4 linked regions of the Rhinolophus ferrumequinum genome follow. The protein of the gene in region 1 interacts with the protein of each later gene in a pairwise test. Links are inferred from orthologs where the notes say so. Each region holds a gene or a part of one and is shown in the gene's direction. Other genes may lie near its edges. The genes, in order: ARL6IP1, SNX10, MYG1 and TUFM.

Region 1 (7,463 bases):
ACAACCTCTAATTCAACTCAAAGTACCCTTGGAAATTGGTTTATCTTAAATGTTTTGTTGTCTTCGGTTTTCTAGAATGCCCTGAATTTTAGTTGATTCCTCTACAAAGTTGTGGAGGCCGTGGAACTGTATTTCTCTGTTTCTTTGGTGTGTCTTGCAGCACCTCCTTATTTTCTGATCGAGTTCTTAACATAGTTTGCTAGATGATTAAGATTCTTTTGTGTCAGACACTTGTGGTTTTTTTTTTTGAGATATGTGAGAGAACTGATAACCCAGCTCTTGATCTGCTTGCCCACATGGCTTCTTTTCAGAGCCCAAGCCCCAGGTTCCGGATGAGGGCTTCTGATACAAAGAAAAACCTCCATCACTTCTGCCCTTAACACTTGCCTCTCTTACCTAAGCTTAGTATGTAGCTTTCTTCATATTGTCCAGTGTTTGGTGTTATCTGCTTTGTTTTTGTTGTTTAATCGTGCCCGTTCTGTCGTGTGAAATTTAAGGAAAGAGCCATTAAAAAATGCCCCGCAGGGCAATGCAAGTACAGCCAAATATTAGAGTTAACGTTCAGTCTTTCTTGTACTATAGGCAGTACTTTCAACTGAAGAGTCTTCCTGGCCTGTTTTCCTCCACACACGTGTAATTACTCCGGGGGCTTACCTTGTTTTGGCAGTCACCAGCTCCTCCTGCTTTTCTCCCCCTTCTTTTCACATTAAAGAAAGCCTGTTAGCCTACAATTAGCCAGTTGGCCCTATTCACCTACATCAGAAATCAGCGGATTCTTTACTATTAGCACATTTAAGAACCTCTGTCTTAGGTAAAGTTAGATGACTGAACACCAGGGACCTTCCATTCTATTCTGTATCTTGAACTTGTAAAGTGCCAGTAAGTTAAAGCTACAACTTCCTTCTCCGTAAATCAAGGAGCTACAATATATCAATGTGAGGGTCACTTCAAGAAGGTAGCCTCTGTTTTCAATATTTGGGTTGTACTAGAAAGATTCGTTCTATGGGAGAAAAGACTAGCATTACAAATTGGTCTGAACCTTGGGGAAGGGACAGTTCACTTTGCTGTGACCCCTAAGGGTTTGTGGCACTTTTTTCTAGGCTTGGGTAACACTATCACCGTCCCTTACGTGCAGATGGACTCCACTTTAGAGCAGCTTTTCAGGTTCCAGGGTTGGTTGTACAGTGGGACCTACTTCGGAGTCGTTTGCCATCCATGGGAATTTGGCGGAGCTTAAGTGGGGAACAGCTCTCTGGTGTGCTAATGTGAAAACGTCATACTACGACTACTAGCTCTTTAGGACTTTGGAAGCTGGTCAACTTTAGGACTTTCATGTTCTGAAATGCAGACTTGTAGAACGTTTTTCTTTGAAAACTGGCTGAATTTTTGTTTTCCTTTTCCTGAACAGTCCCAGGTTCAGCTCCTGTTTCAAGTTCTTGTGTCAGTTGTTTTTCTGGTTTAAATTTTTATGCCTTGTATTTCCATCTGTAATGCCAGTGACCTCATCATCACTCCCTTGTTAATTTACCCTCATTATAAGAGCAAATTGAGTTGAACTGGATCTTGTCCTAGTAAATGTTGTATAAATAAAGTGGCTTCTCTGTACACAAGGTGGTCATGCCTCCTGACGGATATCATTCTGTGATTGTATTTAAGATTAAAAGTTGAATAAATCACACCAGCTTCCTGAAAATGTTCATAATGCATCTTTTGGAAAACAAAATACCTGCCTATTTTGTGCATATTTGCATCGACATGGCAAAGATTGTATGAAATACCTGTTTTTCAAAAAATAAACTCTTAAAAGACATAGCATTTAAGCTCTGAATTTATTGCTTGAAGTAGTTTCCAGAACTTAATTTTGGAATATGGGTAGCTTTTTTAAAAAAAGGCATTAATACCGCCAAAACTTTTTCAACTTCTCAAAAAAGTAATTTGTTCTACCCTTAAAGTTCTATATAGTACTTTTGAACAGCAGTAGAAATTTTACTTCAACGGGGGAGTTCTTGGTATTAAGGCACAATTTATTAAGCTTAATTTTGTTTAACATTTAAAAACAAAACTATAGAACATTATTGATGTGTACATTTCCTGGGGGTGTGAAAGCTCTGAAGGAAAAGTAAAACGTCCAGCTTGTTTTAATGTCTGGAAATCAGACTGCATTTGTTGTTGCTAGATTGTGTTAGGATTTATGTTAACGGTTTAGTCATCTGGCAGGTTTCAAAAGATCACATCCTGAGCGGCTCAGTGATTGGCCAATTTCCTAAACTGTTGGAAGGGGGGGCCACTCAGAGGGGGCATGTCTTGAGCTGTATTATGCAAAGAACCAACTGAGCCAAAACTAACAAATGAAACAGAACTCTCTTAGCCTTAAGAAAGCTATGTACGAATAATTATGTTTACCTCACTGGTGCATTTAAAATGGACTTCCGTTCATGGGAGAACCTTGTTGACATTCACAGTCTGCAGCCTTTCATTGATTGATGTTAAACGTCACAGCAGTCCTTGCTCAATAAAGGTCATATTGGAAACATTAAAAAAAGATCACATCCTGTTTTTGTAGTACAAAAACCAAGCTCAAAAGGAAGCTACACTAAGGGTAGGTGTTTTTTCAGTTAGGCCAATTAGAAGTTTAAAGACCTGATGGCAGTGCCCCTAGGCTGTGAAGTTGCATCTAGTCCTGGGAACACATTCCTCGAGGAAGGAAAAAATACTCCCCGAAGCAAGTGCTGCTGGAGTTGCTTTAATTTTTTCCACCTACCTCAATTTCACAAGCTGGTGTTGAAAAGTTGTCTTTAAGTTGTACATAGGGAACTTGGGTGAAAACCAGAAGTATTCTGTAGCAAAAGCTGATTTCCCAAAACAGACATGTCATTTTGTTGTTTGTGTGGGGTTTTTTTTTTTTTTTTTTTTTTTTTTTTTTTTTTTTGTCACTTTTTAAAGCCTAATAACTCTAGGGCCTGTCCTTTGGGAGTGGATGTTACTGTGCCTTTCGCAAAATTGTGCTCTCAGTGCTCAATGTATTCACTAATTATGTTGCTGCTGTTTGCGACCTTTCATCGTATTTTGAAGAGGTAGGGGAAGGCTGGGCCCTTAAACTTCATAGCTTAAAAATGGGGTCGCTAGATCAACTTGCTGCATCTTACCTACATAACCCATCTTCTGCCCCCCAACACCTCCAAAGTATTACTTTATTGAAGACCCTCTTCCCTTGCTAAGTCTCCCCCCACCAAGTATTTATATCTGATCCAGTTGCTTTATTTTTCAAAGACTTTCTTGAAATTCACAATGCTGCTGTCCCCCTGGCTTTCTTCAGGGTGGAATGTGTTCTGTAGCTACCGTTGCCTCACATTTCTTTTCTGCCTTCTGTGAACTCTCAACCTGGTAGTAAGGAATGCTTGTAAAACAAATTTGAATTCGATCGCATATTCTAGATGACTATAAAACGTTAAAAAGCTATGCTACGTTTTCCTAAAACAGACATCTGACCAGGTCAACATTTGGCATGCCTCTGTTTGAATAACGAAAATCGAAGCACTTAATTCATTTTGAAATTCTGGAGAGAGAAGGCGTGGGAAGTGCCTCAGCACAGCTCAGTTCATCTAGTTACTCAATTGCTTATGAATTCCACTGCTGATGCGAGTTGACACGTTAGCATGACCTCTAGTTGTAAGGTGGTCAAAAGCAGTCCTTTTTGGAGAGGAACCTGGTAGCTTCATAAGCAACTCAAGGGCTTCACACAGAATTTTCCAAAAGACCCCCTGTAAATAAGCCAGCTTTAAAGCCGGTGCATCTTCCATGAGTCCTCAAAGTATGACCCCGATCACCCCGCTACATCCCTCCCAATCAAGCTAAAGCCTTTTCCCTAATAGGAAGGAAAAAATGCAGAAAATCTACATAAATAGCTCTTTCCCATTGTCCTCGAAACCTCAGGAAGTGGGCACGAGTCTCCGAGTCGCAAATCTCGGCTAGACTGGTCAGTGGCATGGCTAGAGTGACCAGAGCAGGAATAAAAAGAAACCCCGGGGGACAGCGAGGGTGAGGGCACTGCCTGGTCGGGCAGAGGATCCCAGACGGCCCCTTTCATTACAGCGCGGTTAGCAAAACATGTCCATCTCTGCTCTCCGCCTGATACTGGGTAGCATATTTCTTCGAGAACTAAATTTCAGGAGAAGTTCCGAGACATACCGTGCCAGCCAACCCTGGGGATACTGAGGCCCAGTCCAGCCCGGGTCAGCGGTCGTTCAACAGATTCCGAAACGCCTGGGCGGGGCATCGTGCATCTCCTGTGCGTTGATTGGTCATGCTGTGTCCCCGCCCCCTCGGCCCTGCGCAGCCTCGCTTTCCTTTGACCTCGATTTCAAGCCATGCGCTGGGCAGCAGTTGGTCCCGCTCCCCTTAAGCTTGAGCTCGCGCTGCCCAATGAGGAGCGAGCTTCGCGGGGGCTGTCGGGAAAGGCGGCCGGCCTATATAAGCGGCTTGCGGGGCGTGTCCTCGCGCCGGGGTCGCCCTTTGGGTCTCGGAGGAAGGCTGTTTCGGAGGGCGGTTTGTGCTCGGTGAGGCGGTATTTCGGGGACGATGGCGGAGGGAGATAATCGCAGCACCAACCTGCTGGTGAGTCCCGGCGCCGCGACGCAAGGGAAAAGGAGTGAGGCTTTTGTATTGTGTTAGGCTCAAGCCGGCGGCGCCGCGGCCCTGGCCCTCTCCCGGTTTCCAGGCGCAGGCGGCGACGCCTGCCCTTTCGGGCTTCTTGGGAAGCTCCTGCGTGGCGGTCGCCAGTCGTATCGTCCCCTAACATTCTCTGGAAAAGGTGCGCGAAGGAGCGAGGAGGGTGCGTGACCAGTCACCGCGAATACGGGTTGAGGAAGTGGGCAAAGGGGGGCTGTGACAAGCCCGGGGCCGAGGGCCTAGGCCCCAGCCGTATGCGGGTTTCCTTCTCTTTGACCTTAATCGGGATGCCACTTCGTTCTTTTGCCCCAAACTTGCGCAGGGGTGGAGGGTCAAAGGGCCGCTGCCGAGAAGTTCGGTTAGAACTGGCACAGCTTGAAATGGCAGGAAGGCTGCGAGCTCACCCTGGGGAACTGGGAGTGGGGTACGGCTGGCAGGACAGTGGGAGGTCCAGGCGTCTGTCCGGAATGTGTAAGTCTGGGGGTCGCAGGACGACTTTAGAATAAGCAGGGGTACGAAGGCACTGGAGTGAGGTTGGTTGTATCCCAGGCGGACAAGTTTGACCTCACTACGATTTTCATGGCACGATGGAGGCAAAACCGAGAGAAATCCGTGCATTTTCTCCGTTGCCTTTCTCCAGGGAAAGGCAGCTGCACACCACAATCACAGTGAATAGAGGGAGCAAAGAATTTAAGTTTGGGCTTTTGATTATCCAAGAGCCCGGGTGCTGACGAATTAAGAGATTTTGCAGGGCGGTTCGCGCGATATTCGTTTTGCATTCATTTTTAGAAATGCATGACTTACCCCCTTACACACACACACACACACACACACACAAATACAAATGCATGAATTACCCCTTTATACACACACACAGAAATGCATGACTTCCTTACACCCCCCGCCCCCCCATAGTTAGCCCCAGCCAGGTTCCTTTTTAGAGGATGATCAAAGCACAGAGAAGTTACCCCAGGTCAGGACTCTTTCCGGTAGAGCAGTGTGACTTTTCGGGAGGACAAGGCTCTTGGCCTTGGATTTCCTGGATTCAGATCTGTTAACGTCTGTGTATTTGTTACAGTTTCCTCATCTGTAAGTGAGGATAGTAACACCTTCCTTTTAGCTTGTTGGGACGTTTAAAGTGTAAGCGTGTAAAATACTTAGTCAAGTTTCTTTCACATAGTAATCTCTTATTTATTAAACATGATATGGGAAGTCAGAAATACTGAGGTCCCCTAGGTGATCAGTGTGGCACAGAGAGCATCTTTCATTAAGATTAAGCTGCGCTGGCTGCTGTCATTTGCACATTTCCCTGTGATAACATTTTTTAAGGACACATGGGTATCTTGTCGCAATGTTTTTTTCTCTGTCAAAATCAGCTAGAGGACTTTCTGCCACATTAGCTCATCCTACAAGTCCACTTGCAGCTGATTGTCAGATTAGCAGAGAAATTTGAAGTCTAACCAAAATGTCCTGATAAACGTGAGAAGCACTATAGAGGTGATATATTGAGCTTAAAATGAGTCATATATTTTGGTGAAAGTAGTTTTTCTTAAATGTGCAAATCATGTCAACATCTAAATGATTCCATTACACAAAGAGCTATTTTGGAAACTGAGTGCTGTTCAGGGAAAGGCTTTCCTAATGGACTTAGAAGTAGGGGTTTAAATCAATGAAATGACAAGACAACAGATCAATTCCAACCACCCGAAATGAACGAACATAAAGTGATCTAATTTTATACTCTGGATACTTTGCTTCCTAGGGCAGGACTTTGGGGGAGTTAGTTAACCATTCTTTACTTGTAAAATGGGGGTAATTATCCCTACCTTGAGGGGCTCAATGAGGATTATGTTGCATCATACCTGAAAAGAGTAACCCAGTTCTTAGACTTGGGAGGTGACCGTTAAATGATAGCTTTTTTCCTCCGTTGGTTTTTGTCATTGGTACCAACATTGTAGAGTATTTTAGAAACTAATTTGTTTAAGATAGTGATTTGATTAACAGCTATTTTACATACTTGGTGCCTTACAAGAATTTAACTTTAGGAACCACAGAAATGTTGAGAGTAGTAAAATGATGGCTTTAAATGTTGATCACATGTAGGCGGAAGAGACTGCAGGTCTGGAAGAGCAGCTGCAAGGATGGGGAGAAGTGATGCTGATGGCTGATAAAGTCCTGCGGTGGGAAAGAGCCTGGTTTCCACCTGCCACTATGGGCGTGGTTTCTTTGGTGTTTTTGTAAGTGAGCTTTTCTGTTCCTTAAGGTTGTGCTTGTTATTAATAAGGGCTTAGGTAATACACAGCCTCTGTTTATGGAGGAGCCTTAAGTCTTTTGTAATGTGTAATCTGTAACAAATGCCTTTTCTTTGAGCCGTTTGCCTAGTTTGCAGAATTTGTAGTACTTCCATAAACTTGGTGACCTAAGTCAGTTGAATAACTCGGTGACTCTCAAACCGTTTGGCCTTAGAACCCTTTACACTCCTAAAAAGTATTGAAGATCCCAAAGAGCTTTTGTCTCTTGGTATTTACACTGCAGCTATGTATGATGTTATGAAGCTTCCAGAAAACCATGTGTGAGAAAATTAGAATGAAAAGGGCAAAATAACATTTTTGAGAACCAGAGGACAAAGTGAATAAACACTTAGGAATAATGGCTATGTTTTTCTAACCTTTGTTCATTTTTTTTTTTTTAAACAGGACTATCTACTATCTCGATCCATCTGTTCTGTCCGGTGTTTCCAGTTTTGTTATGTTTTTGTGCTTGGCTGACTACCTTGTTCCCATTCTAGCACCTAG
Region 2 (7,994 bases), on another chromosome or scaffold:
ATCTTTTGTTCTAATGTTTGGTCTTTGTCCCTGTTTCCTGACACAGGGCTCCTAAATCCCTTGGGATTTCCAAGATCCTTCAGAGAGAATTTTGTTCTAATGAGGTGACTCTTGGGCTCTTCCATAGCTTCAGGATGAGGGCTGGTCACCAGAAAGACCATACCTTTGATTACAAGCCTGGAACTTTCCACCCTACCCCTCATCCTCCAGGAAGGGGAGAAGGACTGGAAACTGCATTAACAATCCATAATGCCAGCATGAAGAAGCTTCCATAAAAATCCTGGAAGTAGGGATTCAAAGAGCTTCTGAGGTGGTGAACACATCTAAATGCCGGGAGGGTGCATACCCCAACTCCATGGGGACAGAAGCTCCTGCGCTTGGAACCCTTCCAGACCTCACCCTATGTACCTCCTCCTCTGTATCCTTTATCACAGGCTTTGTTATAAAATAAGCCAGTAAACGTGTTTTCCTGAGTTCTGTGAGCCATTCTAGCAATTATTAAACCCCAGGAGGGGGTCATGGAAACACCGATCTATAGCCAATGGGTCAGAAGTACAGGTGACAACCTGGAGCTTGTGATTGGCATCTGAAGTGGGGGCAGTCTTGACCACTTAAACTGTGGGATCTGATGCTCAACAAATCTCCTTTACACCAACCACACAACTATCCATAAACCTGGGCATGGCTATTCCTCTGTGAGCTGGGACCGTAATCCTGGGATTCCGCCACAAGACAAAAGCCTCCCTAGCCCATTTCCTACCACAAGGGACCCCTCTTCCCCTAATTCCAATGCTAATCATTATCGAAACTATTAGCCTATTTATTCAACCTATAGCTCAGTGTTAGAACTGAGTTGAATTGTAGGATATCCAGCTGGTGTTGCAGAATTGCTTGACGCATGGAAAACCCACCACACATCTGGTGTAAGAAGTGTTGCGAGTATGGTAGTAGTGTGAGAGTAAAGGAGAAACATAGTTGTTTTTTCTTATGGCTGTTGTGCAAAGACAACTGAACACATAGCATGTTGCATGACCGTATTTCCCATTATTGACATGTTAGCACTTTCTGTAAATGTTGGTCTTCTTACCAGCATTTTCTATTGGTGATAAAGCATGAGAATGTGTTCTTCTTAGTGCTTCATTCTTTCCCCATTTATTTATTTATTTATTTACATTAATTTCATTGGGGTAACATTGGTTAATAACATTATATAAATTTCAGGTGTACAACTTTATAATACGACATCTGTATAGCCTGTTGTGTGCTTGCCACCTAAAGTCTAGTCTCCAGTATTTCATCTTTTTTTTTTTTTTGTAGCTGATAAACAACAGAAATTTATTGCTCACAGTTTTGGAGGCTTGAAAGCCCAAGCTAAGGGGCCAGCATGGTCACCTTCTGGTGAGCTTTCTCTTCCCAGTACATAGACGGTGCCTTCTCACCGTGTCCTCACATGGCAGAAAAAGCTCCAGTATTTCATCTTTGAAACAAAAAATTCAACTACTCTTCTTTCAAACTTCTGAGTGGCTTAGATTAAAAAAAAAAAATCTTAAACTGTTTACAAATGTTATAAAGACTTCTATGAGTAGTTTAGAATTTTCTCAATATTGAGCAATGGAATTAAGAAATAAATTGGATGTTGACACTGATAGGATATTCCAACAATCATTAACAAACCCCTGATTTCAAATGTTGGTGTTCAACAAAGCAGCTTCCGGTGGTCATGGATTTCTTTATGATAAACAGTTGTTACAAAATCAAATTCTTCAAATAAATGTATAGTACTCAAATACTGTTTTCTCTATTTTATAAATGGAGTTCATTTGAAGAAAGGATCCCATAGCTAAAAATGCTTGAAAACCACTAAATCAAACCACTGTGACTCTGAGAGAGTCAGTTTGGGCAGGAGAACGGAAAGCAGAAGATATAATAACACCAAGATCTGACCACATAAAATGTTTGGGACTCGGACCTGAGTGGATCAGGGGAAGGGAGTAGGTCAAAGGCAAAGTGTCAAAGTTAGTAGGTTTGGAGTTAATTGAGAGACTAGTAGTCTACTAACAGAAGTAAGGAAGATGGAGAGGTAGGTAGATGGATGAGAAATCTATATCCCTTTATCTAACAAATAGGTAATTGGGCTCAAAACGTTTTGCTAGTCTTGTTATGGGAGGGATGCATAAGAGAGGTATTTTGAAAAAAACACATTAGATTGATAACCAAGAGTGTATATTTTTATTCACATTAATCTGTATGTCTTCATACTATTGAAAAAAGATTATAATTGTAAAGATCAGGAATCGAAATCCAAATTATTTGTTATTTGTTTAAACTTTTTGCTCACTTCCCGTTATTAGTTGTTTGATGAATAATAAAAGCCATTTCTTGTACATTATGAATAGCTACCATGATAGTGTTTCCTCAAGAAAACAGGACCATTTATGTAAATTTAGAGTTTTTAATGTAATGTTATATATACGTAGTATCAGGTAATTTTAATTTCTGAACACTGACTCTAGATAGTTTTTACTGTCAGTGGATTTTGCTATTTTCCCAGGAGATGAAGGAAGGACTCTATGTGCTTCTTACTGACTTTTGAGTTACAGGCAGGGGACGGAGGTGGCTTTCCTTAATATGTCTAACTAAGGGCACTTAGCTTGGAGATGGAAGGGATTAGAGAAGAGGATCAAGTTATAACAGTTATAATAAATACAACTTATTGAACACTTTCTATGTACCCAACACAGCTCCGAGCTTTACCTGAGTTACTTCACTTAACACCTACAACAACCCGATGAGGCTGGTGCTATTATGATCTTCCCCGTTTTTCAGATGGGAAAAGGAGGCCCAGAAGGTTTGTTCTTTTCCCAGGATCACAGAGTGAGATGTGGCAAAGCTGGGGTTTGAACCTATTTAATGTAGAAGTCACTGTTGAGGCAGGATTTGGACAGGTAAAATAATTTCTTCTTGAAAGCAATTTTATGGTGATTTTATTAGCAGACTAGGATTTCTTGAGCACCAGAGAGTCTCCGTTTACCTGCCCACTGGTGACAAAAAGTCACAACCTAAAAAAGGTGGCAGTCACTTAGCTCAGTCCCCTGGATTCAGGTTGCACATTACAGTTCTTAAGCCAGAAACACCAGGCAGCTGCTACACTAACGGACTGGATTAAAATAACCCATTATTGCTCCATTCTACTCTGAATTCCTTTCATAGTCTTCTTTTCTGTTAGGGCCATAATTCTAACATGTTTAAAGGACTTCCAATAGACTCTCCAAAGGTTTTTGCTGCTCTGTCCACAGTTGTATGGTTATGTTCTGGATCATAATATATTCAGAAAGATTTTAATTTTGCTTAATCTTTTAGGACCATAGACACTTCCTGCGTTTTGTTTTCCAGTCAGTTTTTCTTTGCAGACCATAGGGACTAGAATTTGAAAAATACACTTTTGACTTTCAAAAGCGATTATGTTTACATTCACTTGTGTGCTGTGACTTGGGTGCAATTTTAGGAAATTAAATACCTCATTCAAGATTCAGTGATGCACATTCAGGATTCAAGAAATTAAGACATAACATTGTAGATTTGGAAGCCTTGTTATGCAAAGCCAATTTAGGTGAGGAGGATGGACATTTCAGGTGGCGTGGGATGGCCCTGAATGATAGTCAGCAGCCAGCTGTATCTAAGGGGGAAATTCTTGCATGAAAAATGAAATATTAGGCTGCCTGAAAAATGAAATATTATTCTGCTATGTAGTCACCAGTTAGTAATTTCAGTGATTGCAGTCATATGTTGCTTAATGAAGGCATTCTGATAGATGAGTAGTTAGGCGATTTCATCATTAATGCAAACATCACAGTGCACTTACACACATCTAGATGGTCTAGCCTACTACACACCTAGGCTCTGTGGTGTAGCCTACTGCTCCCAGGCTACAAGCCTGTACAGCCTGTTACTGTACAGAACAACATGGGATTAAGTCAAGCAAGAGAAAATGATGCAATTAAGAGATGCGGTAAACACGAGATGCATGAGGCTGTGGCAGGCAACTTTTCATAGCAAACCATTTTTTTATAAGTAGAAAGAGTACACTCTAAAATAATGATAAAAAAGGTATAGTATAGTAAGTACATTAACCAGTAACATAGTTATTTATTTTCCATGCAAACAGGCACTGCCCAAGGTGCCATTTGAAAAATAGTTTACTGATCCCGGCCCCTTGACAGATCTCATTTCTTTTTCCCAAAAAGTTTTATTGTGAAAGATTTCAAACATACAGAAAAGGTAGAAGTATTTTATAGTACGCACCCATATGCCCACCAGCTGGATTCCACTCTTAACAGCTGTCACCTTTGTTCATCACATGCTCTGTTCATCTCTACCTCTCCCCATTAATCAATCCTCCCCATAACTAAGGGGGCGGGGTTAGCAAGCTCAAGGTGGCTTTCATGTGTTGATTCCAAAGGGTGCCACTTTGCCACCTTCAGCCTCAGCGTCCAGGCAAGCTGCTGTATTTTCTCCCTAGCCGGATTTCAGTGACGGGAGGAGGCATCTGGCCTCCGGCCCAGCGGCGCCCCCCCGCGGCTGCACCGCTCGCCCCAGTCTCGCCCGCCCAGGGTCGGCCTCCAATTCCGCGGGCGGGCAGAAGGGCGGGGCGCAGCGGGCGACGCGGGGCCGCACCTGGGCTGGGCAGTGTGGTGGCGGCGGCCGGCTCAGCGGAAGCCCGAGGCCTCGCGGCGGGCGGTGAGCGCGGGCGCGGGGCCGCTACGTGCGCGGGGTGCGCGGGGCTGCGCTCGTGTGCGCTCCTGGGCGCTCGCCGCCGCCGCCGCCGCCGCCGCGCCTTTGAGTCAGCAAACTCCGCAGCCCGCCAGTCGTCCTGTGCCTGACAGCCCGGAGGAGCCGCGTGTAAGTGACAGCAGACCTCCCGCGGAGGTGTCCCCTGCGCCGCCGGGGTGGGGACCGCAGCCGGGGGTTGGGGTGGGGCGCGCCGGCTGCCCGTGCCTTTCCCGAGGCGTGGGGCCCTTCCCGGTGCCCAGATGCCGCTCCCTGCGGGCTGGGAAGAGGTTTGGGTCTTCTGGGATCGGAGCAGGGCAGCTGCCTCCTTTCCAGCCGAGGTGGGCAGGGGAGGAAGAAATGGTCATTTGCCGGGGGGTGGGGGGGGGGGCCTGGAACGTATTGATCCAGGGGTTCTCAGGTAAAAAGAGGAGAGGGTGGGGCAGAGGTGGAATCCTGGATGCTAGAAAAAGTGCTGTGGCACCTGCCACCGGGCCCGGTTTGGGTGGGTATGCTGTTATACGTGAAAGGGGAGCTTGGGGTTTAGGGATTGGGAGGGGTGGGCAGGTTTGTTTTTCGTGGGATTGTGGGATTGAGGGAAAAAGCCCTAGAGAAAAACCTCGTTGACTGAGTACCAGGTTTGGTGCCACAGGAAAGCAACGACCAGTTTTTCAGTTCTGATGCCTCATACTTGTGTTAAGATTATACACGGGTTATTGGAAGGAATGGTCACATATTGAGAGCAACATGTCCTGCTTGAAAGTGTTTTAAAAAAAAAATCCGACAGTACGTTTTAAAGATCTTACTGCCTTGATTCAATAATTCATGAATCGGCCAGCATCCTGTCCAGCAGATAGATAGGAGCTCCGAGGAAGTACAAAATGGAAGACTTTTATAGGCAGAAGGGAGTGGGACATGGAAGTTATACTAGCAAAACGATGATTGGCTGTGGAAAGGAAACCTTCCTTAGGGGAGGGCAGGGGTCTGTCAAACAGGTTACTTCACCAGGACTGACCAAGTCATTCCAGATTGCCTGATTTAAGATCCATTCCTGGGAGAGGCAGAAACTGTAATTAAGTTAGGTATTGTCTCTGGTGACGTGGGGCTTAGCATAAGTGACTCCATTTTGGAAGGGCTTCTATTTCTGCAAGAAGCATTAATATGTAAGAATATGGGAATTAGAAATTTAGAGCAGAAAGGAGGCTTTCCTGTGATCTCATTCAAACCTTTCATTTTAGTGACAGGATAATTAAGGCCTGGGGAGGGGAGTCATTCAGCCAGAAGGGAGCAGAAAGAGGCCTAGGTTCTCTCTCTGCAGAGTTCTCACCGCCTTTGGGGGCATGGGGTGCGTGTAGGCTTGGAATGTATGAACTCTCTTTTTCCCGTTGGCTAGAGGGGGTGATGTGGCTGCCACCAGTGAGAACCAGCTGCTCCAGCCATTGACCAAGCTTAGCTGGGGCTCCTTAATCGCTTCTGCTGCTTCTGCCATCATTCTTGAGGCCTCTTTCTTTCTTTCTTTCTTTCTTTCTTTCTTTCTTTCTTTCTTTCTTTCTTTCTTTCTTTCTTTCTTTCTTTCTTTCTTTCTTTCTTTCTTCCTTCCTTCCTTCCTTCCTTCCTTCCTTCCTTCCTTCCTTCCTTCCTTCCTTCCTTCCTTCCTTCCTTTCTTGGCATGGTAGATTTAAAATTGACTAATAGGGCTGTTTTGAATAAAGATACAAAAATAAAATACATGCAGAAGTAAATACACGAAGGTGTGAAGTACAGTGATTAGCACTGACTTGTATTTAACTGGATCGTGCTGTTTCTTCTGCCAGTCGATTGCATTCTTATTTTTGAGGGTACTATCTCACTTAGGTGAGGAAGTTGGTGTCGTAAGAGTGGGGAACTTGCTTAGGTGACACCGCTCCTCACCAGGTCTCTCTTGCCTGCTGTTCCTCTCCCTCTACGCTGGGCTGTGGTACGAACTTCCTCTTATTTTACTTTACGAAGACATCGTGGAGCGTGGTATCTGACAAACTAGAAATAAACACCTTCCTTCTTTCCCAAGTAAAAGTGTATTCATTAAAGACTAACGCTGGTGTACTACAGCAGTTCTCCGTGACTTTGGAGCGCTCATGATGTCTTTCCTGAGCCTGAGGATCTCCACTTTCATTTTGAAGGGCTCACTGGGTTAGGTAAGCTATTGTGGGAAATGGCTTGTTTTCCCTCTGGGTGGCAGGGCTGTAGTTTAACAACCACTTGTGAAGGGCGTAGAACTGGTTGAGAGCAGGGGCCAGCCTTTGCAGTCTTTCATTTCTAATAGTGGCAAAAAAGAACTTTTGGCCAAAGTCATGGTTGACTTCCATGGAGAATACCTCAAATTTTGGACGGTTATCACAAGTTTTTTCTTTCTCTTAGAAGTAATCTAGTCGGTATTCATCAGCTCTTATGTTCTCTAAGCCTTATTCAAATAAGAGGTTGGACATGGTAGTGGTTACAACTTCTGGTCTCAGACTCATCACAGTGGAAATCTTGGCACAGTTGTTTGCTAGCTGACGTACTATCAGCAGGGCGCTTCACCTCTCTAGGTCTCATCTATGCTTTATTCAGAAATGTAAAAAGGTGATGATTATCCTTGTCTCCCATAATGATTGATAGCAATAGCCGAAATTTTTTGAGCACTTATTATGTGCTAGGCATTGTGAAAAGAGGTTTGGTGTGGCAGTCTCGTTAACCCTCACAACAAACTTATGAAGCAGATTTTATTTAAACTGGGAAACTAAGGCATCAGGATCTTTATGACTCCCCTAATCTCTTTAGCTCACAATTTTAACCACCCAGCGAGTGTGTCCCAGATTTCTGTCATAGCTAATAATTATTTAGGGCTTTGTTACCAGACCCTGTTTACATACCCTGTGTCTATTAACAGTCCTTGAGCTAGGTCATGTTTTTATTCCCGCCCCTGCCTTTATTTTACAGTTGAAGAAACTGAGGTACTGAGCCTAAGTCAGACAACTACTAAATGCTGCAGCCAAGGTCTGAACTAGGCAGCTTGGCCTTGGAGTGGGTACTCTTCTCTGTGAATGTATGTAAAGGGCTTAGCCAGGACTCAGTGAAGCGCAACTCTTAAATGGCACTTTATTTTTACGTAATAACCATCCCCTCCTCCCAGTCTCTGCAGAGGAGATGCTTTTAGTTCTTTAAATGATTCAACTTTGCTTAAGGTTTTGTGATTCTGTATACATTTC
Region 3 (7,016 bases), on another chromosome or scaffold:
ATTGCTGATAGAAGCCGTATGACTGTTCTACCTCCCATACTTCGATTTAACCCTTAGGATAAATATTTTAAGTGATTTCCCCCAGTGTTTTATATGAAACATTATCTTTTAATTTAACTTTAATATAATAAAGACATATTACTTAAACCTTGTTTTGTGTAGTTCATCTGAAAACATTTGAATATGACGGGTGCCTCTCCACTCTCCTCCCACTATGTGGTATTGTAAACGGAACAGTTTGCAGTTCAAGTCTGAGAGTATTGGGAAGAAGGGCAAAACCACAGGACAAAGCTGGGCCTGGTTTGGCCTCAGATTCTGTGGTCTGCTGCTTATGTGTGACTTTTCGCTCCCCAATTAAATTGTTAATCTCAGAAGCACTGATCGAACACATTCATGTATCCCTCACATCTAGCACATGGTAAAACATTGTATTTACTAATAAACCTCGTGCTGTAGTTGGTTGATAACTTGCCTCCTTATTGTTCTCTTCACCAACAGACTCTCCTGCTTCATCTTCCCAAAGCACCACTGTCCCGATGCTACTTACTCCCCTTGACCCAAGAACTTCACAGGCGTCTTCCTTGCCTGTCAGTCACTGGGTTTATACCGCCCACGTGGAGTAGCAAGCATTGCTCTGCAATATTGTGGTTACAGCCTGAGTACTTTTAAGATTTTTAAGTTCCTTGAAGGCAGGAGTCCTGTTTACTACAACTTGACTACGCCAGGCTTGGGATGTTTTATGAAAAGAACGTGCGGCTATCTTCTCTAATCCAAGGCGAGATTCCATTTCGGGACGGAGGATCATAGAGATGTTTGGCGCAGCGACGCCTCCAGGCACAGCCATCGAGATGCGCAGAGGGACAGCTAGAGCGTCGCTCGCGAAGCCGGCTTCCGCTTTCTGAGTCTTCCTTCCCAATATGGCGCAGTCGGTTAACATCACCGAGCTGAATCTACCGCAGCTGGAAATGCTCAAGAACCAGCTGGACCAGGTGGGGACGGGCCCCAGAGATACTCCTTTCCCGCCTCACATCCCTCCTGTCCACGCGTACGCCCTCTCCCCCCCCATTCCTCCCCACTTTGGAAGGCTTCTCTTCCCCTGCGAAACCCCCACCCCTTCTCTGGCGGTGCCCCCCCCCCCTCCAGTCCCTGCACTGACCCTCTTTCCTGAACTCTGTAGGAAGTGGAATTCTTGTCTACGTCCATTGCCCAGCTCAAGGTGGTACAGACCAAGTATGTGGAAGCCAAGGATTGTCTGAACGTGCTGAACAAGCACAACGAGGGTATGGGGTAGGCGCGCGAAGGCAACCTGGGGGATGTGGTGAGCCGGCTTCTCTCGTCCCGCCCCTTACTCCAGTCTTCCTTATGTGAGACGAGAAAACAATTCATTACGTATTATGTACTGCAGCGTGAGCCCTTTGCATGTTACCTATCCAGAATTGAAATGTACGGGACATTCCTCTGCTCTTGCCGCCCGTTTCTGTTCTTTTCATACTATCTGCGCTGTGCCATATAGGAACTCCCTTCAACCTCTTAAGGTTGGAGCTGCCAACCTTCCCCAGATGTTTGTCTTAATTGTTTTCACAGGGAAAGAATTACTCGTCCCCCTGACGAGTTCTGTATCCTTTCTACAGGAACTCCCTGCCCTTTCCTTTCTCCCTCACCCCTGCTCCGCAAAAAAGGCGTGTAGTTTTGATGACTCCAGAGTGCCCCCATGATTCTGAGAACACTTACTATATGCCCAGCTCTCCTATTTATGTATAACCTGGGGCCGACATGCAGCTAATGCCTTGTGAGCACCAAAGAGCATGTAGAATTGAGGTGTGATTATTTCCCTTTGCTGTTTGAGGATATAATCTAACATGGAGATAAAACTGGTGGTTTACGCTTTTACTAATAACTTAGAAGACATAAGCCATAGAAGGGTAGAATATAGGAACAAGGGAGTTGGCTCTGTTTATTAATCCTCAATTCAGCGTAATTGTGGCTCTTAATTCCTAAACTGTTACTAAGAAACCTGGATTGTGGCTACCTGTTGATTGTTTTACTTGAATGATCAGGTTACCACAGTACAGCACCTGCAGTCTGAGAACTGACAAGCTAAAACAGAAACACGGAAATAGCAATGTAGTAGGGATTGGCTAACTAATGAACATTAAATCCATCAGGAATTAACTAGTTCATGGTTGGGGGTGTTGAGGGGAAGTGAGACCGGCTTTTCACTTTTACTACTCTACTTACAGTAGGAAAATACTGTAGTCTCTCTGGAGGGACTAATGGGAAGAATTGTAAACACTGCTTGGAGGGTGGGGGATGGGATCAGGGCAAGAGAGTAGTTCAGTGTATGTCGTTTTCTCCATAAGGAACCAACTTCTCTGTCTCTCCACATTTGGAGTTTATAGATGTTGTTCTAAGGCCTCCAGATTATTCAGTCCCTGTGCCTTGTAGCTTTTTAGCAAAAGAGGTTCTTAGGAGGCCAAGCAGGCTTGCTGATAAGGAATCATGACTCATGCTGGGCTAGTTTTTCCTTAATCCTTGCTTCTCAGATGTATGTCCCTGGGAAGCTACATGATGTGGAACACGTGCTCATCGATGTGGGAACTGGCTACTATGTAGAGAAGGTGAGTGGAAAGAAGCATGTGGATGCCCCTCTAAGCAGGGAAAGGGAGTTTAGGGGAAGATTTAGAATGCAGCATGGGGTGTCCTGTTAACCCCTCATCCACCTCTGACCTTTTAGACAGCTGAGGATGCTAAGGACTTCTTCAAGAGGAAGATAGACTTTCTCACGAAGCAAATGGAGAAAATCCAGCCAGCTCTGCAGGAGAAGCATGCCATGAAACAGGGTAAGCTTGGTATGGGCACCTCTTGACCCTTTCTGCCTCCATGATAGACAACATGAATTGCCTTGAGAACCACGGGGGTGTCCCCTTTGCTGGATTAAAACCATGTCTTTCTCTTTGGTGTCTTGATGTGTTGTTCTCTAGATTCTGTGCATTACATACCCACTATTTGTAGATACTTGGGTTGGGTGCTTGAGAAATTTAGAGGAAGGAATTCATGCCTGTGTTCTTGCAGAGTTCCTATTTCATGGGGATGGAGTGAGGGAGGAGATCCATGTAAATGAACGCACAAGAAATAAATATAGCCCTAAGTACTAGCAATTGCAACCTGGCTGTACATTAGAATCACTCAAGGAGTTTAAAAAGCCTGGGCCCACTCCAAACCAACTAAGTCAACCTGGGTGGTGGTGGTGGGGTTGAGGGCAGGCAGGGTTTCCAGGGTTCAGTTTTTTTCAAAAAAAAAAAAACACAAAAAACTCCCCAGGTGATTCTTTCCACAGTCAGGATTGAGAACCATTGTCCCAAAGGCAAAAATCTTTCCCACGTTATAATTTTCTGGTTATGTCTGATTCATTTAATACTGCATTTTGTTCATTTTTATATCCCAGTAGTTGTCATATTTACTGACACATTGTAGACTCTAAATTTGTGTGTGTGTACCCCACAGTGGATCACTGTTCAAAGTTTTATTAATTGTAGTTGGTCGTCTACCTGTCCTTAAAACTTCACTGTCATTTTTCTTTAACTCTGGGTTCTCCCCTTTAGCACCTGACCAGGGTCTTTTTTTCCCCACAGCTGTCATGGAGATGATGAGCCAGAAGATTCAGCAGCTCACAGCCCTGGGAGTGACTCAGGCTGCCAAAGCCTGAGAGCTTGTTTCAGAAATGGGGCAGAGGGACCTGGGACTTTTTTGGAGGGAAGAGAAGGGCTTTGGATGTTTAATGCTAATAAATGTTCCACCTGGGCAGAAATGTTGGTCTTTTCTTGCATTAAGCCAGGGACTGGTGAAGAGCTGGGAGGGCAGTGGTGGAGGGGGTGTGCCTGTCCCCAGAGCCTGAGGCAGCGCTTATTTTGGAGGCTCCATTCGGACCCCTGGAGGAGCGGGAGAGAAAGCCTGCGCTGCGTACCCTGCCCGGCCTGCGGGGCCGGTTGCTGTGGGAACGGCCGCTAAGCGGAAGTGGGGCTGTGCGGCCGCTTCCCTTTCCGGGTCGGTGCCCCCGCCTGCGCGCGGGGGAAGCTGCATGGACCGCGGAGTTCTGCGCGGTCTCCTCTCGCTGCTACCTCCGCCACTCCACCAGGTGCGGCCTCGCATGCTGAACCCGGAGTCCGTGCCGCCCTCCAAGCGACCCCGCAGCCGCCTCATGGCTGCGCCCCGAATCGGAACGCACAACGGCACCTTCCACTGCGATGAGGCCCTGGCGTGCGCATTGCTGCGTCTCCTGCCGCAGTACCGGGTACAGCCTGCCAAAAACGCTGGGGCTGCCCGCCTTTCCTAACGGGGTCCTGGGGTAGCTCGGGCGGGCGGCCTGAGCACTCCTACCCTCCCCGGCTCCCGTGGGAACCTCACATTAACCCCCGCTGCTCTTGGCAGCCCCCTCACCTGTGTTCCCCTGCAGGATGCGGAGATTGTACGGACCCGGGACCCCAAAAAACTAGCTGCTTGCGACATCGTGGTGGACGTGGGTGGCGAATACGACCCCAAGAGACACCGATATGACCATCACCAGAGGTGGGTTCCCAGATACCTTTTCTTCACGTCAGGTTTTCTCAGTGCTCCAATGCAGCCGTCCGTGTCAGCAAAGGGACTGCCTCATCCTAGACAGCAAACTCTTGTGTCCCCTGAGGCTGCAGCCCTCCATCCTTCTAGCTCTCCGCCTGCTCTGCGCCCATCCACCTGTCCTTGGACCTCCCTGAACCCTTGCATCTGCCCGGGCCGCCCTTGGCTCCCAGTCAGTCCGTAGGCTCCTCACGGCTCACCTCCTTCCTTGGCTCAGACTTTTCTCCCACCAGCACCGTCGTCAGGCCAATTAATACCCCAGCTGGGACTAATCCATTCATGTGCCTTTGCTGCCCCGGTTCAGACTGCTGCGCCCACGTGATTGTGGTGGTTGGTGGTAGTTGGTGTGTGTGGTCTTCGCTTTATTTACACTCTTCCCTCGGGAAATCTGTCTTTTCCAAGGGTACCCCATTATCCACACTGCCATGCCAATTCTTTTCTCCTCATGTCCCTACCTCATCAAAATCCCTCAGCGAGTCACCCTGCCTCTTACTTTTCCAAGGAAATTTAGTTCCTCCTACATGCATGTCCTGTTTCCCACTCTCAAACATCCTCAGCTCCCTCCTTCCAGTTCAGGAAACACTGTTCCCTTGTTTGCCCCCTTTCCAATCTATTACTTTCTCCTCTTGGACTTCACAACGCAAGTCTCCCACCAGTGTTTCTACTTCTCCTTGCTGGCAGCTTAAAACTCCGCTCAGGCATCTCGCATCTTAAAAACAAAGGAACAAATCAAAAAAAAATTCTCCCTCATGTATACCTCATTGTTTACAGTGGTTATCTCTGAGGAATTATGAAGATAAATTATTTTGTTTGAAGTCTTACGTATTTTCCTCCCTCTTTTGTTTAAGTGTACATATTATTTTCATAAATGATGTTGGGAGAGAACCCTCCAGGTATTTACAACCTAATCTCTCACCCTCACTTCTCAGTCAGTCTTCAAAAGAAGAGCTGACCCTAGCTCCACATCCCTTCAATTCATACCATTCATTCCTTGGTTTATTCATTCAGCTGGTTCTCTCCCAATCTCTCCATTAGACATACTCAAGGAAAGGGCACCAGTGACCTCAAAACCAAACTCAGGTTGCTGGCCGAACATTTCTGGACTATAAAACATAAAATGAACACTGGTGAACCAATGTCCCTACCTAAGATCTGTAACATTCCCGTTACCTTTGCGTCCGCACCTTTCCATGTGCTTCTTCCCTATCCTACCCCCCCGCACGCCTCCCCCAGAAGTAAGCAATATTCTGAATTGTGTGTTCATCATACCCTTGTTGTGTATAGTTTAGCACGTCTGTTGCCAGCAACAATTTATTTGGTTTTGCTTCTGTTTGAACCTTATCTGGGGGAGTTTTTGTTATGAGTCTCTCTATATATACCTTATGAATATTTTATAATTCTTTTTGTATTTACTCAGTTTTTAACAATAAAGATCATTACAACAAAAAAATAAGCTCCCTAGGTGATTCTGATGGACTGGCATTTAGAAATTACAGCTATAATTTCTACTTCCCTAACAACTGTCATACCTTTTTCCTATTCTCTATCCCATTACTATGCAAAGTCCTGCCTTTCTCGCATACCTGGACCACTACAGGTATTCTCCTTGCATCTGTTCACCATGCTGGCTGGCACAATACTTTTTCTAACATGCACTTGCCTGCTTAAAAGTCTTTCAGTGGCTCCCATTACCTGCAGATGAAGTCCAAACTCCAAAATATCGCATACAAGGCCTGCCATGATTTGGCCCCTGCTTACCCTTCCACTTTCTTTTGCTACTCAACCCTCAAACCCAAGCTGCCTTTCTTGCAATTCCATGGAGACCTGTCTCTTAGCCATTGTACATGTTATTCCTTCTACCTGGAATACCTTTTCTCCTTCACCCACTAATTCATCTTTCAGGAATGACCTGCAAGTTCTCCTCCTGAACCCTTCCTCACCCCCTTTCTGTTTATAACCTAGCTAGAGCATTCGCTTGGCTGTTTGTGTGTCTGTCTGCCTCTAGTAGATGAACTTGAACAGTATCTTATTCATTTTTTATCCCCAATGTCTAAACACAAAGCCTGGCATGCAGTGAGCATTGAGTTAACCATTGTCAAATGAATGCATGGAGACTCCAAGCCGAGGTCCATGTTGACCCCTAAGGAAAATCCAAAGCCTCCCCAGCTGGGCTTTCTCTTCCCAACTCCTGCAGTATTCCCCAGTCTTCCCACCCCCACTTGTGCCTGCACATGCATGCACACTGTGGGTTAACTAGGGCAGCTCCGCCTCAGCGCCATCTCCCTGTGCTCCTCAGGTCTTTCACAGAGACCATGAGCTCCCTGTGCCCTGGAAAGCCATGGCAGACCAAGCTGAGCAGTGCGGGACTCATCTATCTGCACTTCGGGCACAAGCTGCTGGCC
Region 4 (7,671 bases), about 14 Mb from region 1:
TCTGGGTCCTCGTCCTCATTTTGCCACGAAGTTGGGGGCCAGCCCACTACTCGTTTCGGTGACACCTGGCCCTGCCCTCCCTTGAGAAGTCAGAGCTACAGGAAATCTTAAAAATCATACCGTTTATCCTTGCCACTCTGTCCCCACCTTATGGGTAATACAGTAGAGGCACCAAAAGTTACACTGACTCAGCTTTATTTTAAAAATGAATGTGAATGCACAATGTGCTTTCCATTGCAAACAGCAGGAAACTTAACAAGCCCAACACAAATACCCAACTGCAATGATTCAACACACAATTCCCGTAAGTGTCGGGCACTGTTCTTTGAGTAAAACACAAGTTCTTACTGTCCTGAGACAGAAAAAAATAACCAAACAACCAAGCAAACTAAGATAATTTTGGATATTTAGGTGCTAGGAAGAAAATCAAAGGAGGAGAGCTGCTAAAAGGATGATCTGGGTGCTACTTTAGATAGAAGAGGTGCCATGTGAGGTGGGACTGGAGTGATGAGAAAGAACGAGCCACGGGGAAAGCGACAAGGAAAAACATCTGCAAAGACTGTGAGGTGGAAACAATGGTGGGATGTTTGCTGAACAGCAGGATGGTCCGTGTGGCTGGCAGGGAGAGGAAACGCATACTAGATGGGCTCAGAGGTACCAGGGGCCACATTATGCAGGCCCTGGGGGCCACAGGCCGAGTTTGGATTTTTGATGACAGCTTTATTGAGATACAATTTACCTGCCGTACAACTCACCCATTTCAAGGAGGAGTATGGATTTTATGCTAAGTGTCAGAAGGAGTCATTGAAGGGGGATTAAATTCTGATCCACATTTTAAAGACCGATTTGGCTGCTGCGTGAAGGATGCATTTGACAGGTACTGAGAATAAGAGTAGAAGCCGGGAGGTTCCTTGGAAAAATCGTGAGGTAGCCCAGATGAGACATGGTCCCCGTCTGAACCAGCACTGATAGTGGAGAGAGACGTGTTCACGTTCAGCATATATTTTGGAGAGAGAACCAGCAGGACTGGGTACTGGGCTAGGTGTAGGGTGAGGGGAAGGGAGAATGGTGACGCCGCGTATTAGATGTGTGAGGAAGAGTGAGGGAGAGAACTGAGAATCCTGTTTTGGATGGTTAAGTCCAGGGCACCACACGGTGGCACTCTTCCGTTTGGGAGGCGCATTCATAGTTCAAGTGCCAATATTCAGAGACCGACAGTGGCCAGGCACAGAGGATACAGAGATTAAGGAAGCCCAGTTCTGGCCTTGCCCAAGTCACTCAGTCCCAGACAAGAAATACGTCTCAGGGTACCAAGGGCTGTAAGAGACAGTGTCTGTTGGGACGCATTTGGCTGCAAATAACAGACAACTCTGACCCGGTCTGGCTTAAACAATACGTGTACCGTCCATCATCACATACCACACGGAGTCCAGCCTTCTAAGGTCCTCTTCGCTTCGCCCTCTTCTGGATTTTGGCTGTATCATCACCTGGGAGCAGGATGGGCACAGCAGTTCTAAGCTTCCCATTCAGACCTGGCAACATTCAGAGGCAGAAGGAGGTCCATTTGTTTGGTGTCTCCTTCTTAAGAATGAAGGACCCTTTTTGGGAACCCCCCCTCCCCTGCACACACACACACCCAAGCAGATCCTTTACCAATCACTGGCCCCAAAGGAGTCACCCCGAACCTGACACAAGCTTCCGGGGAAGGAGAATAGGACCCCCCCCCAGAAGTGGACTAGACCTGTCAGGATTTACTCCTGGACAGGAGAAAAGGTCGCCCGGAACAAACTCAGGGCCCTGGCTGCAGGAAGATGGAAAATGGCTGTTGAACAGGAGTGCAAAGTGTCCGAAGCATGAACAGACTTGAGGGGACCTGGAAAGCCATTGGATTTCAAGAGTATCTTTTTTAAAGAGTTCAAGATTCTGCACTAAGAAGTTTTTCTTTAAACTGGAATCACAGAAAACAAATGTTTGAAAGAGAGAAAAATTTCCTCCTCAAAACAAATCCACAGCCTCCTAAGTCACAATGATTTTCGACTTCCCTTGTCCCCAAGGCCCCCAACTCCCGTCTTGTACAGATGCCACCTTCCTATAGTAGCCAGGCTTCCGCTTCATTTAACACTGCTCACAAGCATTTTCACAGGTGGCTGGCTCCTCTCGTCTCTGCAAGTCTGAGCCCATTCACTAATATTTCATTTAGTGGCCGTGCCAAAATTCACGCTACCGTAGCCACAGCCTGGACATTTGTGTTCCTTCTGCTCTTTCACTGGGATATTGGTCATAGGCAGGACTGGACATCTGGGGGAGATCCCCTGGCCCCCAACGTCAGTCAGAATACAGAACATCTGTGAGCCTCCTGATACAAGAACACCGACAAACGAGCTAGGCTTCTCCAATCAGATACCTGCACGTGAGGCTTTGAGTTGACCTGTGTTTGGGGGTGGGGAGTGCGGGGCAGAGAGAAGGTCTCTTTCTTGATGCAGAAATGGCTTCAGTGCCAACAGCAGTAGCTGTTACAGACAAATCTCAGTCCTGGCATGCAGTGTATGGTGGCGTAGCGACAGTTTTCTTATCAGGTCAGATCAGTTCTGTGGCTGGGGCGTTATTTCTCCAGCCCATCCCACAATTCCGGAAGCTGCCTAATACCCTTAAAACAAATCCCTCTTCTGCTTACACCAGCCGGCGTCAATTCTGTTCTCTGTAAATCAAAACTCCTGACTTACAGAGGATGCTACATCAACAGCTCTACAGAATTTTCTCTCCCTTTGGACTTACTTTTCTGAGCACTGTTTCTCAAATCTCAGTTGTTCATGTACCGCCTCCCCCCACATTTGCCATATATACATACCACCTATATTATCTACCAAATAGCGTGTTTAAAATCGATTCATTTTCTTAAACACAGTATTTACTGTGTTTATTCTTTGTTTTTTAACTAACACGCGTTAAAATAAATATAGCGCCACGAAAATGGAAAGCTTTAAGTTTCTTTAAGAAGAAAGTTTAAGTACCACCCCCAAAAAATCTCATATCCCTTAGTGGCCAATAGTGTCTTAGGACAAATTTCCAGTAGGGTGACTGAGATACAGAGTGGGGACCAAGCACACCTTTTTATACTGTACCAGCCCCTCCCTAAGCAGAGCTGATGGGTTGGAGGACCAGAGGGAGCGAAGTGTCAGTATTAAGTTCTTCAGTTTAGATGAGCAGTAAAAGGATAGTTAAACGACAGTTTGGTACAGTAGTCAAGTGTACACTGTTTCGGAATTCAGTTGTATTGGGTTTCTTCATCATCCCCATACGCAGTTTTCTCACCTGTAAAATGGGGGGAATATGGGCCCTACCACACACAGTAACACTGGGAACCAATTCACTGACTGTGAACCAATGGGAAGCATTTGCATATCTGATCCATAGAAGCTCGAGTTTACTGTGTCCCAAACTCTGAGCTTCAGAAGGGTGTGTGTGTGTGTGAGAGTGTGTGTGTGTGTTTGTGTGATACATAAATATGGTTTCCCTGTCTGTGCCCCGACCTTACTGAGTCATCATCTCTAAGCAAGAATTTAGGGAATCTATTTGAAACAAACACCATCAGGTCAATTGAGTCTTAGGACGTGATGAATTGTAGAAACATTAACCAGGGCCGAGCTGCTGCTATTACCATCCCAGGGTGATAAGACGATGGATGAAGGTTATTATATACTATCCTTGCACGCATCCGGTCAGTCAGCAGATATTTACTGAGCACTCACTGGGTGCCCCGTCCTGTGTGAGATGCTAGGGACACGGTGGGGACCAGAAAGGCTCCGGTTGCTCTGAAAGGTCCCTGAGGCTCACCCTCAGGTGTCATTAGGGAAATTGTGTGGGAGGGTGGGGCGACGAGCAAGGGAATTACTCCCGGGGCTCCTGAGGGCCATAGGGGTAGACGGCAAAGCTTTGTCTGTCCCCGCAGGCTGTGAGCCAAGAGGGTGGATATTCGAGAGTCAAAGACTGGGGGACCTGGAGGCCCCACGACCCCATTCCTGCCTCCTCCCCAGCTCATTTCCTTTCCGAGCCAGACGTCAGGATCTCCGTATGAAGTAGATATCCCTCCTGTAGTCTCATGTTACAGATAAGAAAAGAAAAGCGCAGAGGAGAGATGGGTCACAGTTGAGTCCCACCCCCGAAAGGCGCCCAGGACCGTCTTTCTCAGCCTGGCCGCAGAGCCTCGTCCTACCTGCAGCTGCGGGACAAGGGCCGCCAGATCTCTCGTCTGACCCGCGCAGTGGGTCGGACACCAGGGGGTTCGCGGCCAGGACGTTCCTGAGCAGTCCGCGCCGGGGCCCCCTCCCTCTGGACCCGGTCTCGCCCTGCCTACCTCCCACACTAAGCGCAAAAACAGCCCGCCGCCCTGGGAACTACAACACCCATGAGGCTTCGGGGCGCTGGTGCATTATGGGACGCTCGCTCTACACCGCTCCCCAGGGCCGCGGGAGAGAACTGCGTGGACTTTCTCCCCCCGGGAGGCCGAGTGCGTCGTGGAAACCTCTGTCCTTCCCCGCCCCGAAGACACCAGCATCTACCTACCTTGACATTTTCCGTCCCGCGCCCGGAAGTCGGCGAGGGCCATAAAAACTGGTGGCTAGAGGCGCCGGGATTTGCCCTCCGGGCCCTCACTTCCGCCGGAAGTGTCCTGCAGTCGCAATTGCCCTTTCCTCATTGCACGCGCGGGCACCCGGTACCGTCTTCGGGGCGGGCGTACGACCACCATGGCGGCCACCACCCTGCTGCGCGCGACGCCCCTCTTCAGCGGTGAGGGGGCGGGGAGGGCGAGCGCGGCCCAGGAGCACGTGGGGGCCGTCAGGAGTGGGCCGGGCTCGGACCCGCGCCCTGACTCCAAACCTCTGCCCCGGCAGGTCTCGGCGCCGGCCCGACCCCCGCGCTGCAGGGTCTGTTGCGGTCGCTGAAGGCCCCGGCCCTGCCCCTTCTGTGCCGCGGGCTGGCCGTGGAGGCCAAGAAGACCTATGTGCGCGACAAGCCCCACGTGAACGTGGGAACCATCGGCCATGTGGACCACGGCAAGACCACACTGACCGCGGCCATCACGAAAAGTAAGCGGGGTTGCAGGGGGCGCCTCGGCGGCGCCCGCTCTGCCAGCGGGAGGGACCTGGGGCCGGGGAGGCGGGGCCAGCGGAGGGGCCGCTGGAGGCGTTTAGTGGAGCCGCAGGTGCCGGAGCTCGGGTGGCCGGTGGGTTGGAAGCTGTTGCAGGAGACAGCTTTCCCCTCCCGTGAACTTCTTCGTGATGGCTGCATTGGGGGGAACGCTGGACGGCCTCCCTCCCGCCGTGGGGGCTGCTTTGTAAGCGGAGGCTTCGTTTTACCCTCGAGAGGTCGCTGGGCAGGAGCTTGAGACCCTTGCTCCTGCTTTTCTGACTCGGTTACCTCTGCTGGAGGAGTCGAGGGGAGGGGACCACCCTCCGGGGCTGTCCGCGTAGGGTGAGGGGCCCAGGGGTGTGGCCCGCGCCCGGCCTCTCCCCCTGGAACCGCAGCTGAGAGGTGTGTTCTCCGCCCTCCCTTAGTTTTAGCGGAGGGAGGCGGGGCCAAGTTTAAGAAGTACGAGGAGATTGACAACGCCCCCGAGGAGCGCGCCCGCGGTATCACCATCAATGCGGCCCACGTGGAGTACAGCACTGCGGCCCGCCACTACGCCCACACAGACTGCCCGGGCCACGCAGATTACGTTAAGGTGAGAGTGGGGCTGGGGACAGCGCCAGGAGCGCCTGCCGGCAGGAAAGACGGGAGACTTGTGGGGAGGAGGCTGAGATACTCAAGACGTCTAGGCTTGAGACCTGTAGGGATGTGGACCGAGGAGATGGCTGAAGTAGGTTGTTTCTTCTCTTCCCGCACCCAGAATATGATCACAGGCACCGCCCCCCTCGATGGCTGCATTCTGGTGGTGGCAGCCAATGACGGTCCCATGCCCCAGACCCGAGAGCACTTATTACTGGCCAAACAGGTAGGCAGAGCCTGGGTAGGAGTGGAAAGAGGAAGAGTAGGGAGCGGGGCCGCTTAGGACCCCATGTCTCTTTCCCGCCTGCAGATTGGAGTGGAGCACGTGGTGGTGTATGTGAACAAGGCAGATGCCGTCCAGGACTCCGAGATGGTCGAGTTAGTTGAGCTGGAAATCCGGGAGCTGCTCACGGAGTTTGGCTACAAAGGGGAGGAGACCCCTGTCATCGTGGGCTCTGCGCTCTGTGCCCTGGAGGTGAAGGCAGCCAGGCAGGGGGCTGCTGTGCGTGGCAGAGAGGGTGGGGTGGGCAGCAGAGCTGTGCTGAATCTGGGTGTGGTTCTGGGTAAGCAGGATGGAAACGTCAGAGTCCTGTCACCTCCCCCCGTAGCAACGCGACCCTGAGCTCGGCCTGAAGTCTGTACAGAAGCTGCTGGAAGCCGTGGACACCCACATCCCTGTGCCCACCCGGGACCTGGAGAAGCCTTTCCTGCTGCCTGTGGAGTCAGTTTACTCTATTCCCGGTGAGAACCGTGTCCGTTCGCATCCTGTCGCCCTGGCAAGAGCCTCGCCCAGGGTCCCTGATGGCCTGTCTTGTTCCCTCCCAGGCCGGGGCACGGTGGTGACAGGTACGCTAGAACGTGGCATTTTGAAGAAGGGAGACGAGTGTGAGTTCCTGGGACATAACAAGAACATTCGCACGGTGGTGACAGGTACCAGAAGCCTGGGGGTCCCGGGGCTGGCTCCAGGGTGACGGCTGTCCCTGCAGATGCTTTGTGCCTCCCCTCTGCCCCAGCCCGTCCTCCCTGGTCTCCCCTGCTCCCTCCTAGGCATCGAGATGTTCCACAAGAGCCTGGAGAGGGCAGAGGCTGGCGATAACCTGGGAGCCCTGGTCCGCGGCCTGAAGCGGGAGGACCTGCGGCGGGGCCTGGTCATGGCCAAGCCAGGCTCCATCCAGCCCCACCAGAAGGTGGAGGCACAGGTGAGCCCGGAGGGTGGAGGTCAGGTGGGCAGGGCTGAGCCCATCCGGAGAGGCAGAGCTTCCAGCCACGTGCTGTCTCTTGCAGGTTTACATCCTCAGCAAAGAGGAAGGAGGCCGTCACAAGCCCTTTGTGTCTCACTTCATGCCCGTCATGTTCTCCCTGACGTGGGACATGGCCTGTCGTGTCATCTTGCCTCCAGGGAAGGTACGGGGGGCTGGGGAAGGTGAAGGCGCGGGGTAGGGGGCGCTCTTCGTATCAGCTCTGCACTTACAGTTCCGGAGACGTGACAATATGGGTGACTTTGCCGTGGGCGGAGAGGCTGGCAGGTGACACAGATGAAACTAGCGATGGAAGGGTCTGAACCCACGGATTTGGGGTGAATGAGGCCTGATCCAGTATTCCCTGGGCTTAGCTGTACTTGCATTTATGCACAGAAAGGCTTGCAGAAGGCGGCTTCTCTTGAGTTTCACTGTACGCAGGGCTCAGAGAAGTCCGAGACAAGGAAAGCTGCATAACCCCGAATTTCAGGCTGTGTTCTCAGGTGCATTCCTGTGACCCTGTCCCCGGCCCCCTCTGGCCTTCGCCTGTGCTCTGTACCTGCCTGACAGCTGGGAGGAGCCGTCCTGTCACGTTGGCTGCGTTTCCCAGCAAACAGGTGGCGGCAGAAGGGCACCCTGCAGGCCGCGGCTGACCTGTGTCTGCCCC

Evidence for each region.
Region 2: the proteins of ARL6IP1 (region 1) and SNX10 interact in binary tests that used the Homo sapiens proteins (3 or more experiments, as listed by UniProt). The two-hybrid records come from large-scale screens. The link is inferred for Rhinolophus ferrumequinum from reciprocal best matches to the Homo sapiens genes ARL6IP1 and SNX10.
Region 3: the proteins of ARL6IP1 (region 1) and MYG1 interact in binary tests that used the Homo sapiens proteins (3 or more experiments, as listed by UniProt). The two-hybrid records come from large-scale screens. The link is inferred for Rhinolophus ferrumequinum from reciprocal best matches to the Homo sapiens genes ARL6IP1 and MYG1.
Region 4: the proteins of ARL6IP1 (region 1) and TUFM interact in binary tests that used the Homo sapiens proteins (3 or more experiments, as listed by UniProt). The two-hybrid records come from large-scale screens. The link is inferred for Rhinolophus ferrumequinum from reciprocal best matches to the Homo sapiens genes ARL6IP1 and TUFM.

The regions. Positions count from the first base shown.
Region 1 is NW_022680357.1:14,985,310-14,992,772, reverse strand, and holds the start of ARL6IP1 (ADP-ribosylation factor-like protein 6-interacting protein 1), read left to right. Parts: upstream 1-4,461; 5' UTR 4,462-4,578; coding exon 4,579-4,614; intron 4,615-6,771; coding exon 6,772-6,905; intron 6,906-7,364; coding exon 7,365-7,463. UniProt on the Homo sapiens protein: Positively regulates SLC1A1/EAAC1-mediated glutamate transport by increasing its affinity for glutamate in a PKC activity-dependent manner.
Region 2 is NC_046303.1:15,185,691-15,193,684, reverse strand, and holds the start of SNX10 (sorting nexin-10), read left to right. Parts: upstream 1-4,991; 5' UTR 4,992-5,030; coding exon 5,031-5,108; intron 5,109-6,843; exon of another isoform or gene 6,844-6,941; intron 6,942-7,994. UniProt on the Homo sapiens protein: Probable phosphoinositide-binding protein involved in protein sorting and membrane trafficking in endosomes. Plays a role in cilium biogenesis through regulation of the transport and the localization of proteins to the cilium.
Region 3 is NC_046293.1:53,190,293-53,197,308, forward strand, and holds the start of MYG1 (MYG1 exonuclease), read left to right. Parts: upstream 1-4,016; 5' UTR 4,017-4,078; coding exon 4,079-4,291; intron 4,292-4,453; coding exon 4,454-4,566; intron 4,567-6,910; coding exon 6,911-7,016. Other genes in the region: PFDN5 (prefoldin subunit 5), read left to right, coding at 918-989, 1,178-1,280, 1,585-1,616, 2,544-2,618, 2,735-2,840, 3,633-3,706. UniProt on the Homo sapiens protein: 3'-5' RNA exonuclease which cleaves in situ on specific transcripts in both nucleus and mitochondrion. Involved in regulating spatially segregated organellar RNA processing, acts as a coordinator of nucleo-mitochondrial crosstalk.
Region 4 is NW_022680357.1:1,235,204-1,242,874, reverse strand, and holds the start of TUFM (elongation factor Tu, mitochondrial), read left to right. Parts: upstream 1-4,654; 5' UTR 4,655-4,745; coding exon 4,746-4,788; intron 4,789-4,892; coding exon 4,893-5,087; intron 5,088-5,555; coding exon 5,556-5,722; intron 5,723-5,887; coding exon 5,888-5,992; intron 5,993-6,076; coding exon 6,077-6,241; intron 6,242-6,374; coding exon 6,375-6,507; intron 6,508-6,591; coding exon 6,592-6,696; intron 6,697-6,813; coding exon 6,814-6,965; intron 6,966-7,050; coding exon 7,051-7,170; intron 7,171-7,671. UniProt on the Homo sapiens protein: GTP hydrolase that promotes the GTP-dependent binding of aminoacyl-tRNA to the A-site of ribosomes during protein biosynthesis. Also plays a role in the regulation of autophagy and innate immunity.